Arabidopsis thaliana: one gene and its partners. The protein of the gene in region 4 interacts with the protein of the main gene of each other region in a pairwise test. Each region holds a gene or a part of one and is shown on either strand. Other genes may lie near its edges.

What was found.
Region 1: the proteins of TCP5 (region 4) and SPL interact in a two-hybrid assay, tested with the Arabidopsis thaliana proteins (3 studies listed by BioGRID, with this or other methods).
Region 2: the proteins of TCP5 (region 4) and EMB1135 interact in binary tests that used the Arabidopsis thaliana proteins (3 or more experiments, as listed by UniProt).
Region 3: the proteins of TCP5 (region 4) and HEC3 interact in binary tests that used the Arabidopsis thaliana proteins (3 or more experiments, as listed by UniProt).

The regions. Positions count from the first base shown.
Region 1 is NC_003075.7:13,681,558-13,685,288, reverse strand, and holds SPL (sporocyteless (SPL)), read left to right. Parts: upstream 1-1,694; 5' UTR 1,695-1,829; coding exon 1,830-2,360; intron 2,361-2,459; coding exon 2,460-2,693; intron 2,694-2,782; coding exon 2,783-2,962; 3' UTR 2,963-3,211; downstream 3,212-3,731. UniProt on the Arabidopsis thaliana protein: Transcriptional regulator of sporocyte development. Acts as an adapter-like transcriptional repressor recruiting TPL/TPR corepressors to inhibit TCP transcription factors. Required for nucellus and embryo sac development.
Region 2 is NC_003070.9:29,850,456-29,855,431, forward strand, and holds the start of EMB1135 (RING/FYVE/PHD zinc finger superfamily protein), read right to left. Parts: upstream 3,012-4,976; 5' UTR 2,761-3,011; coding exon 2,152-2,760; intron 2,075-2,151; coding exon 1,901-2,074; intron 1,816-1,900; coding exon 1,685-1,815; intron 1,492-1,684; coding exon 1,415-1,491; intron 826-1,414; coding exon 644-825; intron 454-643; coding exon 376-453; intron 165-375; coding exon 32-164; intron 1-31. Other genes in the region: OCT2 (organic cation/carnitine transporter 2), read right to left, coding at 3,685-4,976. UniProt on the Arabidopsis thaliana protein: Required for normal embryo development. Necessary to acquire heat stress (HS) memory, by modulating nucleosome occupancy and regulating heat-induced gene expression.
Region 3 is NC_003076.8:3,025,590-3,028,990, forward strand, and holds HEC3 (basic helix-loop-helix (bHLH) DNA-binding superfamily protein), read right to left. Parts: upstream 1,526-3,401; 5' UTR 1,487-1,525; coding exon 812-1,486; 3' UTR 520-811; downstream 1-519. UniProt on the Arabidopsis thaliana protein: Required for the female reproductive tract development and fertility.
Region 4 is NC_003076.8:24,534,808-24,539,153, forward strand, and holds TCP5 (TEOSINTE BRANCHED 1, cycloidea and PCF transcription factor 5), read right to left. Parts: upstream 2,438-4,346; 5' UTR 2,131-2,437; intron 1,901-2,130; 5' UTR 1,846-1,900; coding exon 763-1,845; 3' UTR 530-762; downstream 1-529.

The DNA of each region.
Region 1 (3,731 bases), on a different chromosome or scaffold from region 4:
GTAGATCATATAATAGCCATTTAAGATGTACAACATCTCATCTGGTTACTTCATTTATATAAAAAAAAAACGAAATCTCAACACATAGTAATGTATAATTACTTCAGTGGGGCTTCTCTTAAGACTTGTATTGAGAATATCCATATAAAACAAACTTTGTATTAAGATAATTAAAATTTTCTAATAGTAGGTATTGGGCTGAAGCCAAGATTAACATGGAGGCAGCTTTAAAATGTTTCCTTATATGATGCAGCCATCATTTCTACTCTACTCCGTAGCTCCAAACCCTTCTCGTAATTCACGTCTCTCATGCTATTCTTTTTGCTTTCGTCCTCCTCTCATGTGAAGCAATAACTATCTCTCGATTTTTTTTTTCAAATACCGAAAGCTAACTTTTTCAAATAAATGTCAAATATATTAATTTTCGTTTTGTATTTAGTATTTTATTTGTCAGCTAAGTATAGTGAGTTTTTAAGCTTACTCGTCGTATTTATCATATATTCATATACATATCACATTAGTCAAAGTAAATAAAAATTTGTTTTTGAAGAAAAAAAAAATACATATAACTGCGAGTCTGCGACTGTAACTGGACTTGCTTATTTTAGTTGATATGAGCTGAGTAAAATCACGTTGTCCCAGACCTTGCTCGCTACAATCGGCGAATGGTCTAACGTCCCGACACCTGTCCTCGATCCGCGGGTACTATATTCTTTGCAATGTGATGCACGCGCTGTTACTATTGGACAGTGTTTCTCACCTCACGACTGAGCCTATGCGAGTAGCGACAATCTCCGATTTGCTGTCTCCATGGTAGGGATTATCACAATCTCTGATTTTTTTTATCAGGAACAAGTAAATAAATAGCTTTGAGTTTTTGTTTTTTTTCTACATTCTTCGCCCAAAAGATGTAAGAAAATAAAGGATTTGAAACCTTGTTCTGTTGTTACTCCTTTAAATTCTTAAAAACTATAAATCATTATATCTTTGATCTGTTTCACAAACTAATCATATTCGTTGCAAAGTGAGAATTCGTCCCACTTTACTCTTTACACCGATACTAGTATTATAGATGTACAGCATAGTATTCCATATCTAGTTATTTAGTCAAAACTCTATATATTAAGAGGTAGGTTAATTAATTAAGGAGTAATTGAAGATTATAGAAAGAATAAAAAATACCATTTAATGGACAGAACCAAAGATAACTAACTATCATACTATAATGTTGAATTTCTTCCACGATCCAATGCATGGATAACAACATCAATCAAATCATACATTCATGCTATATAACATAGTTTTCAGTTACAAACTCTCTTTTTTATTTATTTCAGTTGTTCCTTTTCATGACCATATTAACATCAAATAATGCATTTTTTTCAACGTCTCTTGACTTACACCCACTAATATTGACAAATTGAACATCTATACGACTATACACACATAAGTTAAAAATGCATGCAAGTGCTAAGGGAATTTATAACATCTAAGGTTAATAAGACTAAGAAAGTATAAAATAAGAATACGTATTATGAATTTATGATATACTTTACTAATCTTTTTGAAAAATACTTTAATTTAATCTACTATAGGGGGTAAAAAGTAAAAAAGAAATAAAGATACGTTTATCCGCATATAGTACCTGGAAATAACAGAAAATAAAAACACAGGTAAGTACTTTGCCTGAGCTAGTATATGAACACTAAAGAGATACACACACACAAAAAGAGAGCAGAAACAAAACACACACACTTAAAGCTTTCGTCTTTACCTCTTCCCTTCTCTCTCTCTATCTAAAAAGAGTTCCGAGAAGAAGATCATCATCAATGGCGACTTCTCTCTTCTTCATGTCAACAGATCAAAACTCCGTCGGAAACCCAAACGATCTTCTGAGAAACACCCGTCTTGTCGTCAACAGCTCCGGCGAGATCCGGACAGAGACACTGAAGAGTCGTGGTCGGAAACCAGGATCGAAGACAGGTCAGCAAAAACAGAAGAAACCAACGTTGAGAGGAATGGGTGTAGCAAAGCTCGAGCGTCAGAGAATCGAAGAAGAAAAGAAGCAACTCGCCGCCGCCACAGTCGGAGACACGTCATCAGTAGCATCGATCTCTAACAACGCTACCCGTTTACCCGTACCGGTAGACCCGGGTGTTGTGCTACAAGGCTTCCCAAGCTCACTCGGGAGCAACAGGATCTATTGTGGTGGAGTCGGGTCGGGTCAGGTTATGATCGACCCGGTTATTTCTCCATGGGGTTTTGTTGAGACCTCCTCCACTACTCATGAGCTCTCTTCAATCTCAAATCCTCAAATGTTTAACGCTTCTTCCAATAATCGCTGTGACACTTGCTTCAAGGTTTGTTTGTTTTTTAATCGTTTTCATCAACATGATTGATATATATATAGTTTTTGCACTTGAAAAAGTTTTGATTTTTATTTATGTAAAAAACTGCAGAAGAAACGTTTGGATGGTGATCAGAATAATGTAGTTCGATCCAACGGTGGTGGATTTTCGAAATACACAATGATTCCTCCTCCGATGAACGGCTACGATCAGTATCTTCTTCAATCAGATCATCATCAGAGGAGCCAAGGTTTCCTTTATGATCATAGAATCGCTAGAGCAGCTTCAGTTTCTGCTTCTAGTACTACTATTAATCCTTATTTCAACGAGGCAACAAATCATACGGTACTAAGTATAGTCCATTTATTAATACTCATATATAGGTATATATGTATATAACTGTTGATCTTATTTGATTTAACTGGTGGGTTTAGGGACCAATGGAGGAATTTGGGAGCTACATGGAAGGAAACCCTAGAAATGGATCAGGAGGTGTGAAGGAGTACGAGTTTTTTCCGGGGAAATATGGTGAAAGAGTTTCAGTGGTGGCTAAAACGTCGTCACTCGTAGGTGATTGCAGTCCTAATACCATTGATTTGTCCTTGAAGCTTTAAATGTTTTATCTTTCTATATTGATTTAAACAAAATCGTCTCTTTAAAGAAAAAACATTTTAAGTAGATGAAAGTAAGAAACAGAAGAAAAAAAAGAGAGAGCCTTTTTTGGTGTATGCATCTGAGAGCTGAGTCGAAAGAAAGATTCAGCTTTTGGATTACCCTTTTGGTTGTTTATTATGAGATTCTAACCTAAACACTCAGACATATATGTTCTGTTCTCTTCCTTAATTGTTGTCATGAAACTTCTCTCTCCCTCTCTCTCTCTAAAGTTGTGTCAGATCTTGGGGCTTGTATCCATTTTGTGTTTCTTTAGTTAGGCAATGATCCTGTCATGATTCATGTTATCACCTAATTAATCCTCGGTTTTCGAAACGGTGTCATGCATATCTGATTAATCTTGTTATCTGGTGTGAGATAAATGTATCAAATTGCTCTTGTTTATAGCTTTTCCAATTAATGTCATTGCATAGCATATGGGATGTACAGCTTCGTTTTCGATTTATAAAATTTATACATGTGTTTGGTACGTACTGTTTTGTTTTGGATCAGAATTATAAATTTAGTACAGTATAAACTACTTTAAAAATTGGCCAATGAGAATTTTGAGTTTATCTTCTTTTTATAAGTTGATTGATTTTGCTTTGTTTATTTATAGAAAATATGAAATTTTATCAATTATTTTTGGGATGCTTTTTTATTGATTTTAGTTCGGCTAAAATTAGTTAGATGTTTAAATTTATTAAAACAGATATGCAAAAATTAACTCGA
Region 2 (4,976 bases), on a different chromosome or scaffold from region 4:
TTAATCAACAGGAGTAGAAAAGAAAACCAACCTAGGAATTTGTTAAAATCACTAAAACTTGTTCCAGCTCCCCAAAGACCAAGCCTGACCATATAACCCATGTTTCGTGGTTCTGATGCCCCAGTAGCCGAGCAATAAATAACACGTGCTTGGGGGATCTTATCCTGCTTTTCCAGAATTCATTAGTTAGAGTCAACTAGATGGCACTAACCACAAATTAAGCATGTTAAACTAGAATATACACTATATTATCTGAAACCGAGAAAAAGTACAACCCAAAAAGACAAGTCGAAGTATATAATCTCTCACTCTTCAGAGCCAAGAGCAATATTAAAAGCAACACTGATAAGAACATTCAGTTTCAAGTAGCCAGACCTGAATGTCAACAACTGCCTGTCCGATGCGTGTCGGCTGACTCCCAGCTTCAGGTACCAAATTTTTCGCTTTATGGCACTATAAAAAAGGAAAACAAATTAGTACCTGCACAATGTACTAAAGATTAGAGGTTGGCCCAAAATTGATAAAACCAGTGATCAAGCAACTTACAACGACAGGGTATACTCAAATTGTTCAATTCACAAAAAAAGGGGGATGATGATTTTAACGCAAATAATTTAATATACTTCATTCATAGAACTGTTACCTCATCAAAGATCAAGAGACCATCAAATTCTGGTCCACACCATTGAACAAGCTGCTGTAAACGAGAACGGCCCTTCTCAGAGGAAGCAATGAGGCTATTGTATGTCAAGAATACCACTCCTTCTTTAATACCAACATTTTTCGAGTCAAGCTTAGAATAGGGTAGCTTGTTCAAAGGATTCACTGCACGTCAAACATATTGTTATTTAGTTGCAGAAAAAACAAACTGGACATTTGTTCACTTGAATGAACTTATCCATCGACATGGTTCCCTTGATTTGTCGTATTTTTCCATCTCCTAATATTCTATTAAAATTCCAAGCTCAAACCTATAAAGGATTAATGAGACTAAGAATCAAATATCCTATTGGACTATTCTAAAGTTACAGTCCAACTTTTATTTACCTGAAATTTTCATGAACTGCACAAACATCAGCTACCCATAACATTCTCTAGGCATGAAGACACCATAAACAAAGTTCAGGGACCCATTACCTTTATCAGTAAAGAAAATAAGTTCTCTAAAAATACATGTGTACTCTACATCGTAATATTAAAGCATGAGTCAATTTATCCATTCAGCAAAGTCAGAATCTCATTCTGATCCAGTCTACTCTATACCATCCACTTTCAAAATTTTCTATTCAACAATGAGCCAGAAAATAATTTATAGCATAAGCTATATGTAATTATGTATAACATATGAAGCATTTGTGACCCAAGAAAATAAGCGAATTACAAACTTAATTTACAGCCAAAATCAAGATAATACCTCCAACGCATGTAGCACCCACATCATCCAAGTCCCTTCTTGCATCATATTTCAAGTCTGAGCCAATAGAAATCCACCTATGTAAATCATAAAGGAAAAGGAGCAAATAGTATTAGAACTCATCCTACTTTAAGTTATCTAAGAAACCAAAAAAGGACACCGTAGACACAATTATGCAAATGTAGTATAATCATAAGTCAGATTGAATTGAGCTAACAATATCTTATCAAGGATGTAAATGGCGCAGAAGTATCTTTCTACAAGACTTACAAAGCTTTCCTCCTTCCATGTTTCCAATTTTCCCAAATCAACCCGGCAATTGTTCGCCCTTTGCCCACACCAGCACCATCTCCAACAAAAAAGCCTGCTCTGGTACCATCAGCAAGGTGCTGGAGATGCCTCTGTAATAAAAAAAAAACCATTGTCATACAGGTAGAAGATACGTTTAAATGCCATTAACCAAACTTTTTGCCATTTAAAAGCAACCTGGCAAGCGTAAACTAATGTCTCAATCTGCAAACACGATAAAGCCTTTGACCTTTCAAGCTCTTCCTTGATTTTGAGATCATAAGTAGGCTCTGGGGGTTGCACTGCAGATAGAGATGATGTTTCCACAATTGGATCAGGATGAGGAGGTCCGATCGAAAGTTTTGGGGGACGCTTCACAAAGAAACAAATTAGTATCATCAAAAACATTGAACAGACAGAAAAAGATGATCTCAAGATGAGGCACTCACATAATCCATAAACGTTTCTCCAGCCGTTCCACCTTCATCTTCTTCTCTCTCCACTTCAATAGCTTCCTCATTGACTTCTTCGGGAGGAGGCGGAGGCGGGACTGTGGGAGCAGCAGGAGTAGGAGGATTAGAATGAGATTGAGAAGCAGTTAAAGACCGATTAAGCTTGGAGACATCAACAGCGAGCTCGACATGGCACTGAGGACACGAGAACCGAGTGAGTCCATGAGGCACATTGAGGATAGCCTGACAGTTAGCGCAAGGCAATTGCATCTTCGTCGGATCGATTCCATGTGCCGGAACCGGAGGCCTAGGTAGATTAAGAGGCTTAAGCTGCTGTTGAATCGGTGGCGGAAGCGTCTGAATTGGCTGTGGTGGTTGTTGTGGAGACTGCGGAAACTGCGGCCGTGCCCTAGAAAGAAGCTCCGGCGGCAACATTTGGGGAAGTTGACAAGTCGGACACGAGAACTCCACAACGCCGGTTTTCACCCTCAGAATCACGCGACAGCCTGCGCACCTAACCTGTACATCGCCTCTTATTACACCTCCGGCGGCGGAATGCGGCTGAGCTGGGAGCGGCGGAGGCGGTTGAACAGGCGACTGCGTCATGAGCCGCGGCGATTGATCTTAAGAGAGATCCGTGAGAGGCCTTAGGATCTTGTGGCGTTGAAGGAGATAATTGAGAGAGGAAGACAAAAAAAGTATAAATCCAGTGTAAGTAATGAATTTCGTCAGAGCGCGAAAGGTTCTTCTTCGACTCCCTTCTCGTTTTTTTTGGTTTCAGATTTTCTTCCCTTTTTCTAATATTATTTTGGGATTGTTTGGTTCATCTAAAACTAATTATAATTACCCAAGAGGAGTCGAAGTAGGAAGATACAAAACCACTTCCGTACCGGTTGGGGTAATGGTAAGTGATGGGTTGATGGATCACGTGTCATCACGTGACTTGCCAGCTCACCGTTCGTTAGTTTGTGTGGGCTTAAAATAATAAATCCACATAAGTTTTGGGTTTGTGAACTTTGAGACCACTTAGTTGGGCCTAAAAGGGTTACAAAAGGGCTGATAGATGGGCCTATTTGTAAATTAAACCTTTTAAACATATCTACCAAGAAGTGTACAAATTTCTGTCTGGTTTGTTCTTCCCATTCAATTACCAAACAGCCAACTACCAACAACCCCAATGAATATACTTTCTTGGGATTGGAACGATTCATTTTCACACAACGTGTGAAAATTAGAACAGAAACACAATTATCTCTAACAAAAATCAAACAGCCAAACGTTTAACCATCGGCATCAATATCCAAACGAGACAAATTTGAATTATTTTGTTATTCAAGAAATCCATGTGTTATAGGTGTAAACTGTAAAATGAGATTGTTTCATCAGAGTGGTGCTTTGATGGCTCATTCTTAGAAACACTTTTCAACTAACCAAAAAAAAAGATATGTGGTAAGTCTTAATGTAATCAAGTGATAAATACTAAATTAAATCTACATTAATTTCACATGTGTTTTCAAATTCTTCACCATTTCATGCAATGACATTATTAACGGCGACTTTACTCCGCCGGTCTTTGCACTCTTCCTCGTCCATAGTGTCACATAGATCACTCCCTCTAGTCTCTGGCAATCCAACTGCAAACAATCCCAACAAACCTATAGCAAGACCAAACAATCCGAACGACCAGAACGCGTTTTTCCGACCAGCTGCTACCATAATAGGGCTGAAAACTCCACCAAGCACCAAAGCCTGTCTAGCCATTGCGATAGCCGAGTTTCTCACACATGTCGGAAACAGCTCGATCGTGTATATCATCTCCATGTTAAAAGCCGAACACGCGCTAAAGTAAGAGATTAGCTCTAACGCCAACTGTAACGCCCCGTGGTTTCCAATTCTCATATTATGTAACGCAAATATGAGAACGCTAGAGACTCCACCTAAAGCCGTAAATCCGATAAGCGCGTTTCTCCTACTGAGTTTATCGACTAGGAAAAGCGTGATGAGGTTCGCTGGTAAATCCATCAACGCATTAAACGCTGCACTTAAATAGATGTTGAAATCAAGATTCGATAACGCTAAAGGCATCCCGTAATAGACCAAACCAATCCCGAACGCAATGGCCATTACCGCGGATAATCTCTTAAGCGCCCATCTTTTCTCTACCAACACCTTCATGGTCGTGAAGATGTTAACATTAGTACTAGGCTTCTCTTCATCTTCTTCAAAAGGTAAGCTCGAAAAACTCATAGATATTGCACCACCACTGCTTACATCAGTAGACGGAATCGAAGCAACCCTTTTGAGAATCGAAATAGCTTCTTCTCTACGGCCTCTAACGAAAAGCCACCTTGGAGACTCACAAACGAAAAACCGAACAAGAACGCAGTATATTATCGTTGGAATCGAAGTCCATGCGTAGAGAATCCTCCAAGAACTTCCTCTGTTCATGTAAGCCATCAAAGGAAGAGACAAAAAGCCAAGCATGAATCCGAAGAAACTCATTATCCCTACTCGTCCTCGCCATTTCTTCCCAACTAATTCCGTCGAAAGAACGAGCGCACATGTCCCTATCGTCGCTCGACCAAATCCATTAACGAATCGAAGAACAGCGTAAACCCAAATGTTTGGTGAGAAAACCGTTAGCATCGTTGATATCGCCATAACGAGACAGGACAGAAACAACATGTTTTTACGACCCAAGGAAGAATCAGCAAGTGTTGAGAGAACCAAACCTCCGATTAAACATCCGACGAAGAAAGAACTCTCCGGTAAGCCCTTGACGAAAGAGCCGGCGCATTGGAGACCCCATTCGGATATAACAG
Region 3 (3,401 bases), about 22 Mb from region 4:
ACAAAACATCATTTTATGGGATGATTGTCGTAATTTTCATTATGCTAAACGTTACTATAGCTAAACATTTTTCGTTAACATTTTTACAACAAGTATAATCGGATACGTTTAGTCTGTTAGACTTTTTAGTTTTCAGGTGATGTTTAATCGGATACTAACAAGTATAATCTAATAGACTAAACGTACGGATATTATTTTCATAACAACTTTTTTCTTTTTGGATTTTTCGTTGCTAGTTGTGAAGCTATATATTAAAAAAAAAGCCCTAAAGCTTATTGTAATTTAGGAATTCTTAAAGCTTATTCTAATCATAACAAAACGATTTTCAATATGTATAGGTATTAACGTTCAAAGTGAGGTATGTACGTAAAAAGATGAAAATGAAGCAATAGAGTACATTCATATTATATGCTCTAAAATATAGTACTTCACAAATATATGCGTTGTGTGTATACAAAGACAAAAGTCCACAGTAATGATAACACTATTTAAATAGGGTTCTTTGATGGCGTCATGGTTCTTATGCCCGAAAAATGCCCGGCCAAAACTTGTATACAACCAAACTCCAAATCAAGAACTTATTATTATATACGAAATGATAACATAATATTAAATATATGGTGGTACACAACTCAAGCTAACCGTTATGATTATTCCACAACCTTTTCACGGTCAACAACAATATATTATATATCCTAACAAACCCTTATTTCGTATCCATTTTTATTATATATAAACACTTTCCATAATTGCACCATTACTCACACATTATAGCATAATTTAGTTACTACTAATGGAAATGTCATCTTGTCTAGATTAATTCTCCTACTCCTCTTCCCCCACGGCCGAAACTTGGCGGTGGTGGCGGTGAAACCCATGACGTCGTCACCGCCTGAGAAGCTTGATCTTGCGGCGGCGGAGGAGTATATCCGGTATTATTATTGAGTAGCCGGATCTGCCGTTTCAAGAACTTGACATAGCGTATAGCTTCATCGAGCATTGAAGCCGTATCCATTTTAGTGCCACCTGGCACGAGTCTCTGAAGAATTCTGATCCTCTCACTGATTCTCTCACGGCGATGTCTAGCCGCCACACTCTGAGGGTCGTCGGAGATCCTCACGTTACGGCGTTTGGGTTTCTTGACGGTTGCTGGGTCGATGTCAACCGATTGCATGGCTGCGATCTTGTACATCATTTCCTTCATAGCACCGAGTTCCTCTAGAGGTTCTTCTTCGTCTTCGTCGTCTTCTTGATCTCCGGAGAGAAGAGTGGTGGTTGTGAGGGAAGAAGAGAGAGGAGGGAAATGAGAAGAAGAGAAAGGATTGAAGATATGGAGCTGTGTGTACTGGTCCATGGCCATACCGATTGGATCATTATTATGTTGATGATGATGATCATCATTCTTGTTGTTGTTGTTGCTGCTGTTGATGATGTTGTTCCAAGTGTAATTTTGGAAGAGAGATGGGTTCATATTATAATTATTCATAATTTTTGTTTGTTTGGTTCGTAAAAATTTTAATGCTTGAGGCGATGCTTATATGTATATATATATGTGTGTGTGTGAGCATATATATATATTAAAGGAAAAAAAGAAAGGTGATCATATGATGAGGGGTTAGGTTGGTGATGCAATTAAGGATTTTGGTTCGGAGAAAAAATAAAGAATAATTTTATTTATATGTATCTTTTCAATAAGTGGACGTCACTAGTCGTTACCAAAGAAAAAGATTAAATTGTATATAGTTGAATAAGAAGTTTTTTTATGCTCCGAAAATGTTTATAAACGTTGTAGCACTTTTGTATACATATAGTTGGCATAATCGCTTTTTTTTTTTTTTTTTTAATGAGCAGCTCCAGTTGACTAATGAGATAGTTTTGAGTTGGCTAGGGTTTCCCTCTCCCACATTGAGACTTGAATTTAGGGTATATCGAGAAAGTGGCTTTCACCAAAGTAATAAACTAATAACCACTAGCTATAAGAATGTGAATTACTTTATATGAACATGAGTTTCTCTTTGATTCACAAAAGATGTCACCACTTGTGTGCTCTTATTCTGACTTCTCAATTTACAATCCCTTTAATTATCTCCTTCTCTCTTCACAAAACCCATTCACTAAAATAGGAAATCTTGATAAATTTTCTCTCATTCTCTTGTCTCTTCACGAAATAGCACATTTTGTTGATCCTATACTCTTATCCCGATCAACGGTCGTGATTTTCTCTCTCCCCTCGATGGAGTCCAATATTGAATGTAAATTGTGTGTGAAACTCGCAATGTTATATATTATTATAAAACAAATGATCAACTTGCTTTTTTCCACAAAGCTATTCTATAACTTGCGACGTGATTAAAGGTTTATAAGGATAACAAACATCAAATCACTCGCATGGGGACACCTTAGCTTCTTCAACATTTGGGTGTTATCCATGATTGTCATTAATAAGAAAGACGTGTATCATCGTCGTGACTCGTTTATATAAGACGGTGGTGAATATATCATTTTCCATGAAGCAATTTCTGCTTTTTATTAACAAAGTTCACATCTACGTAACAACGTTCTTGTATACAAGTGTATAAAACAAACACAAATCCGTAAAATACACGAAATTTTATGAGACTTCAAAAGAGGCAAATTTATATACGTTGTTTCGATCCGTTTATACAAAAATCAGACGGTTCTGATTTAATGTGACAAGTTTCTTATGTCATATGCCTCAACACAAAAGCAATGTATAAATACACATGTATATGTACATATATGAGATATAAGCGTATATTTTGCACATATGTTATGATTTGGTCTGCATTATAATCATACAAATTGCGCATGCAGGCTGCAATCATGCATTATAGGGTTACTTCTTTGGTATTAATCCATTGTTCACTGTATATTATATTCTTATTAAATCCACCCAACTGCCAACTACATGTATGAACATCTACTTATACACACACAAGTTTTGGAAATTAATTTGATTCGATATAAGTATACACTATATAGTTTTCGCATTTATAGCGGTTTAAAATGAAAACCGCAATTAAAAGAGTAACTGTGTATTTAATATAATAGCTAGCATTCGATCATATTATTAAAGTATATAACAGTCATGAGCAAGACTTATAATATAATATAGTTTAGTTAAAAGAAGTTTTATTTTGCCATGTATTTTATATAATACAAATTCGGATGGATTGGAGCAATGAACAATTTTTTTATTGCCTGATCATAAATTTAGAGTGTTTTTTAATTAAGTCTATTAATATTTTTCATACATGTGAAAGTTAAATGATTCATTTTGGACAGCTAGTTTCTAAATTTCCACAAAAACATGTAAAATAATAGAATATATAAGACACATAAATTTAATTTACTTCTTAAATCTATGATTTCATTTAGAA
Region 4 (4,346 bases):
ACGATTATATCCAATTCAAGTCCTGACTATGTAATCATTGCATAATGATGATTAAGATAGATCATATCATATTTTGATTAAAAAAATTACATAATGTTTTTTCTTAGCAACATTGTGATGCCTATATATATATATATAATGGTGATTGGTGAAATGCTTTGAATCTGGTCATACGATGGTAGAATAGCATATGGGTTTCGATGGACCTATTTGGTTTAAAGTTGAATTAGGGTTATGTTAATACTCTTTTTTTCTTTTTCTTTTTCTGAATCTGTTTTTCCTCCATCCTATTTTGAAAAGTATTATTGTTCTTTGCGTTTTTATTCACTTTCTCACATTCGTGATAACAATAAAAAATTCCATATATGTAAAACCTAAATCCTAACATATGAAATATGATTAACTAATCTAGATTATGGATTAGGATGAAAGTGCTAGCTAGTTATGAGATACCTATATTGTACAATTCATTTATTCGAGTGTATATATTCATAAATGAATAGAGAAAGACATTCAAGTAGAATTCATATAATTTCTTAAGGAAGCAAAAACTACCTTCAAAACTAAAACATATATAGAAATAACAACCATCCTCGCATTATGAATGTCTTTGTTCGAATCTAAATCCGAGACTATTAAAAAGTGTATACATACACGAAGAAGATACATAAACCAATCCAACAATACGCATATATATCAAAATATAGAAGAATACGTATACATATAACATTTTCAATGTATAGTGTAGATATATAAAATCATTCAAGAATCTGATTCATTATCGCTACTATGATGATCCGTATCATGATTCGAGCTCATCAAATGATGAAATGGTCTAATCAAACTCGTATTACCCGGCATCATGTGTTGCTGCGATGCGGTATTTGAATTCGAGCTAAAGAGCTGAAGATGACCGGCTCCATCGACGACATGATGATGATGAGAAGCTCCAAGAAACGAAGGGTATGTCGGGAATAGAGAGCTCATTGCCGGAGGAGTAGGACCGAAAAAAAGCTGAGATCCATCTCCGGCAGACGAGGAAGGAGGATGCAAATTGAGATTATTGTTATTATTAGCAGCAACATTAGATATTGCGACAGTAACGTTATTACCAGATTGGTCTAACGATTGTTGAAGATGTCCAAGGTTGTAATAAGCTGAAGTGTTGTTGTACGGATTGGTCAGAGGAAATTGTTGTTGATGATTGGTGTTAAACCCTTGATGATCTTGATTACTATTCTCGTCGTTTTTGATCCATTTTCCTTTATCAAGATCAAAACTTTCTCTTTGGGTCGTAGTTGTATCGGTTAATCTTGCTCTTGTTCTTGAAGAACCACCAAGATCCCAATTTTCCAAGAACCCGAGATTGGTTCCTGGAAACGTTGTTGATGTAGTTGAAGATGGAGATTCTCCAAACCCGGAGTTTCCGAAGATGAGATTTGGATACATCTGGTTAAATCCATGTGGGAATTGTAGAGGAGGTAGCTTGTCTACGTCATCTTTTGCTGCTTCGAGTAACCAATCAATGACTTTGCTTGGCTGACTCAGCCCTAATCGATCTTGAAGGTCGTAGAGTTGAATAGCTGTAGGTACGGACAACCTTATCCTCCGGTCTCGAAGACCACGGACTGTACATACTTTGCTGTGTCTGTCTTTGCCACCGAATGTTCTTGAGACTCGAACGATTCTTGGATTCCTAAAAGCTGAAGTCCATTGCCTTGAAGATGATACCGAACTCGGCTGTTGTTGTTGCAACATGTGGTTTAAGTTTACTTGATGATTTTGATTTTGATCTCTTTCTTGCTTTGCTTGAATCTCCTCTTCATCACATTCTCCTGATCTCATCTCTTTAATTCACTCAACAAGATCTTCAGTACTCAATTTGGTGTAAAGAACAGATCTGAAACAAGAAGGGAATAAATTGACCAATTTAATAGAAAATAAATCAAGAAGACAAGAATTAGTTGTTGTTAGCTTTCAATTGAATGAAATTGTTGATTTTAAATATGTTTTTGGAGCGAGATTCACATGAAAACAAAGCAATAATATCTCTTTCTTGAGTTTGCATCAAAGAAAAGAAAGCTCATAAGAATTTGAAATTCAAACATGTTGAAGGTTATATGTTCTTACGTTGATTGAATACTGGTAAGCTTGAGTCCTATTTCAAGATCCAGCTTGATAGAGAAGTAGAAGAAGGAGGAAGAAGAAGAATAAGAAAGAGATAAGGAGGCAGAGGAATGTGTAGTATTTCTTTTTTTGGAAACTAGAATTACATATGTATATTATAATGATTGGGGAAGTTAAATAATAAATGAATTAGATATATTTTTAAGTATTATATTCCGATCCCTAGGGCTTTTTTTTTTCGGTATGAAAGGAATTTATGCAGAAGGACAAAAGAGGAGCAATTTATGTAGTGTATTGATACTGTGATGGGAATGTGCATGTTTCGTTACACTCACAGTCACATAAATCTTATATATATAAAACTTTACAATAGTTGACAAAAAAAAAACCTTTACAATAAATTTTAATATATTTTAGTATTCAAGTTTTGGTTCCCTTTCCTTGGTGTTAGACATTCATTTTGAATTTTATATGATTTAATTTTTACCCAAGTTTGTGATCTATGTTGTCTTCTTATCTTAAACAAAAATATAAACATACGGTTAAGGTCATTTAAGAGAAAGTGTACGGTTGACAAATTAATAGTTATAAATGGTAACAAGAGCTTTTAAAGTGAAAAAAAAATATAGTACATGTATAGTAAATTAATAATGGTAAAAGTGGTTTGAACTTTGAACTGTGAAACATATATATATACAAGATCGAGTTTGAAAGTTTTATGAAACCAAATTTTAGTAAATTCAAAAAAATTCATAATATAAACAAATGGAAAGACCAATTTATTTACAGTCGTCGCTCATTTCATTTGAGTTTCTGTCGTTTTGGAAAATGAAAAGTTTTATTTGTAGATAAATTGTTGAATTTCATTATTAACGAAGCAACTTGTTGAAACCCTAAATTTAGTGATAATGAAATGTAGACTTGTTAAAATCAAACTGTTGGGAATACTGCTTTTATTTCTAATTAACTACTTGTGGGTTATATTTTTAAGCATATATAGAAAATATCCATATATATAAATTTTTTGTTTTAATATCAACATATATAAGTAAATATAATAGAGATTGACAGCTAGAGGAGGTAAGGGTCTGTCTCTGAGATAGAGAATGGACCAACGAGTATAGGTTTTTCTTTAAAGCATCTAATGCCTAAATACTCACAAAGAGATTTGTGGTCCACTTCTCTTCTAAGTGTCTTTGCCACTGAGATTTTTGCCCACAATCACAAACCATTTTCTTTCCTCTTTGTATCCAACTTGATCACTACTATATATAAAGTCTTCTGTAATTGACCGCGCCTTTAACCCACACTGGTTGTTTACGAAGAATATTGAGTTACTGCATATATAGTACTGTACGGTTTCAAATTAAGAACTCTGGTTTTGATTATGTAATCTTGAGATGAAATTGACTGTAACAAAGTTACATTTGTAATTTTGCAAGAAAAAGTTTTGTATCAGTTTTTTGGTCCTCACTTAAATATGGGGAAAATATTAAATAAATATGAACCACTTATATATCGTATAATTTTAATGATCATATAAATTGTGGTAACTGTTCATCTCAAATCAAAGGTTCCATGGATTTCTTTTTCCACATCGGTTCCGTAGATTATCCAACACAATTTTAAGGCATTTTAAGATGATCACAACACAATGTCACAGATTATTTTAAGAAGGCGATTGGAAGCCTTCATTAAAGGCATTTCCAAGGATCTTTCCGGATATGGTGGTATATTTTAAACACAAATTATTCTTAGAGCGAGATAGACTTGTACATTTCATTTTTTTGGTACTGTGATAGACATGTACTAACTTTTATATAGATGGTGTCAGTGGTATATTGGTCTAACTAATATATGCTGCAACAATATTAATTATGATGTATGTTCATAAAACTTGTGGTGAAATTTATCACAACAATTTTTTTGTCCCAACAAAGAAGCTTGCCAAACCTACCCGTCGTCTAAAGCAGCCCACTACCAAAGCCGCCTTTAGTCATTGCTTGGTTGGTAACGTCTGTCAAAGCCAAAACCTTAATTTCTTTCAAAATTGATTTAACGTAAATTCAAGCTTAAGGAATAAGCTAGAAACTATTAACAAGATCATATTTTAGGGAATTTTGGGAATGTATGACAGGATTTGGCAACGAATTATGTGAATACAATTAAATTGTTCCTGCCTTTTATATATATACACATAATTTAACTTAATCATCATG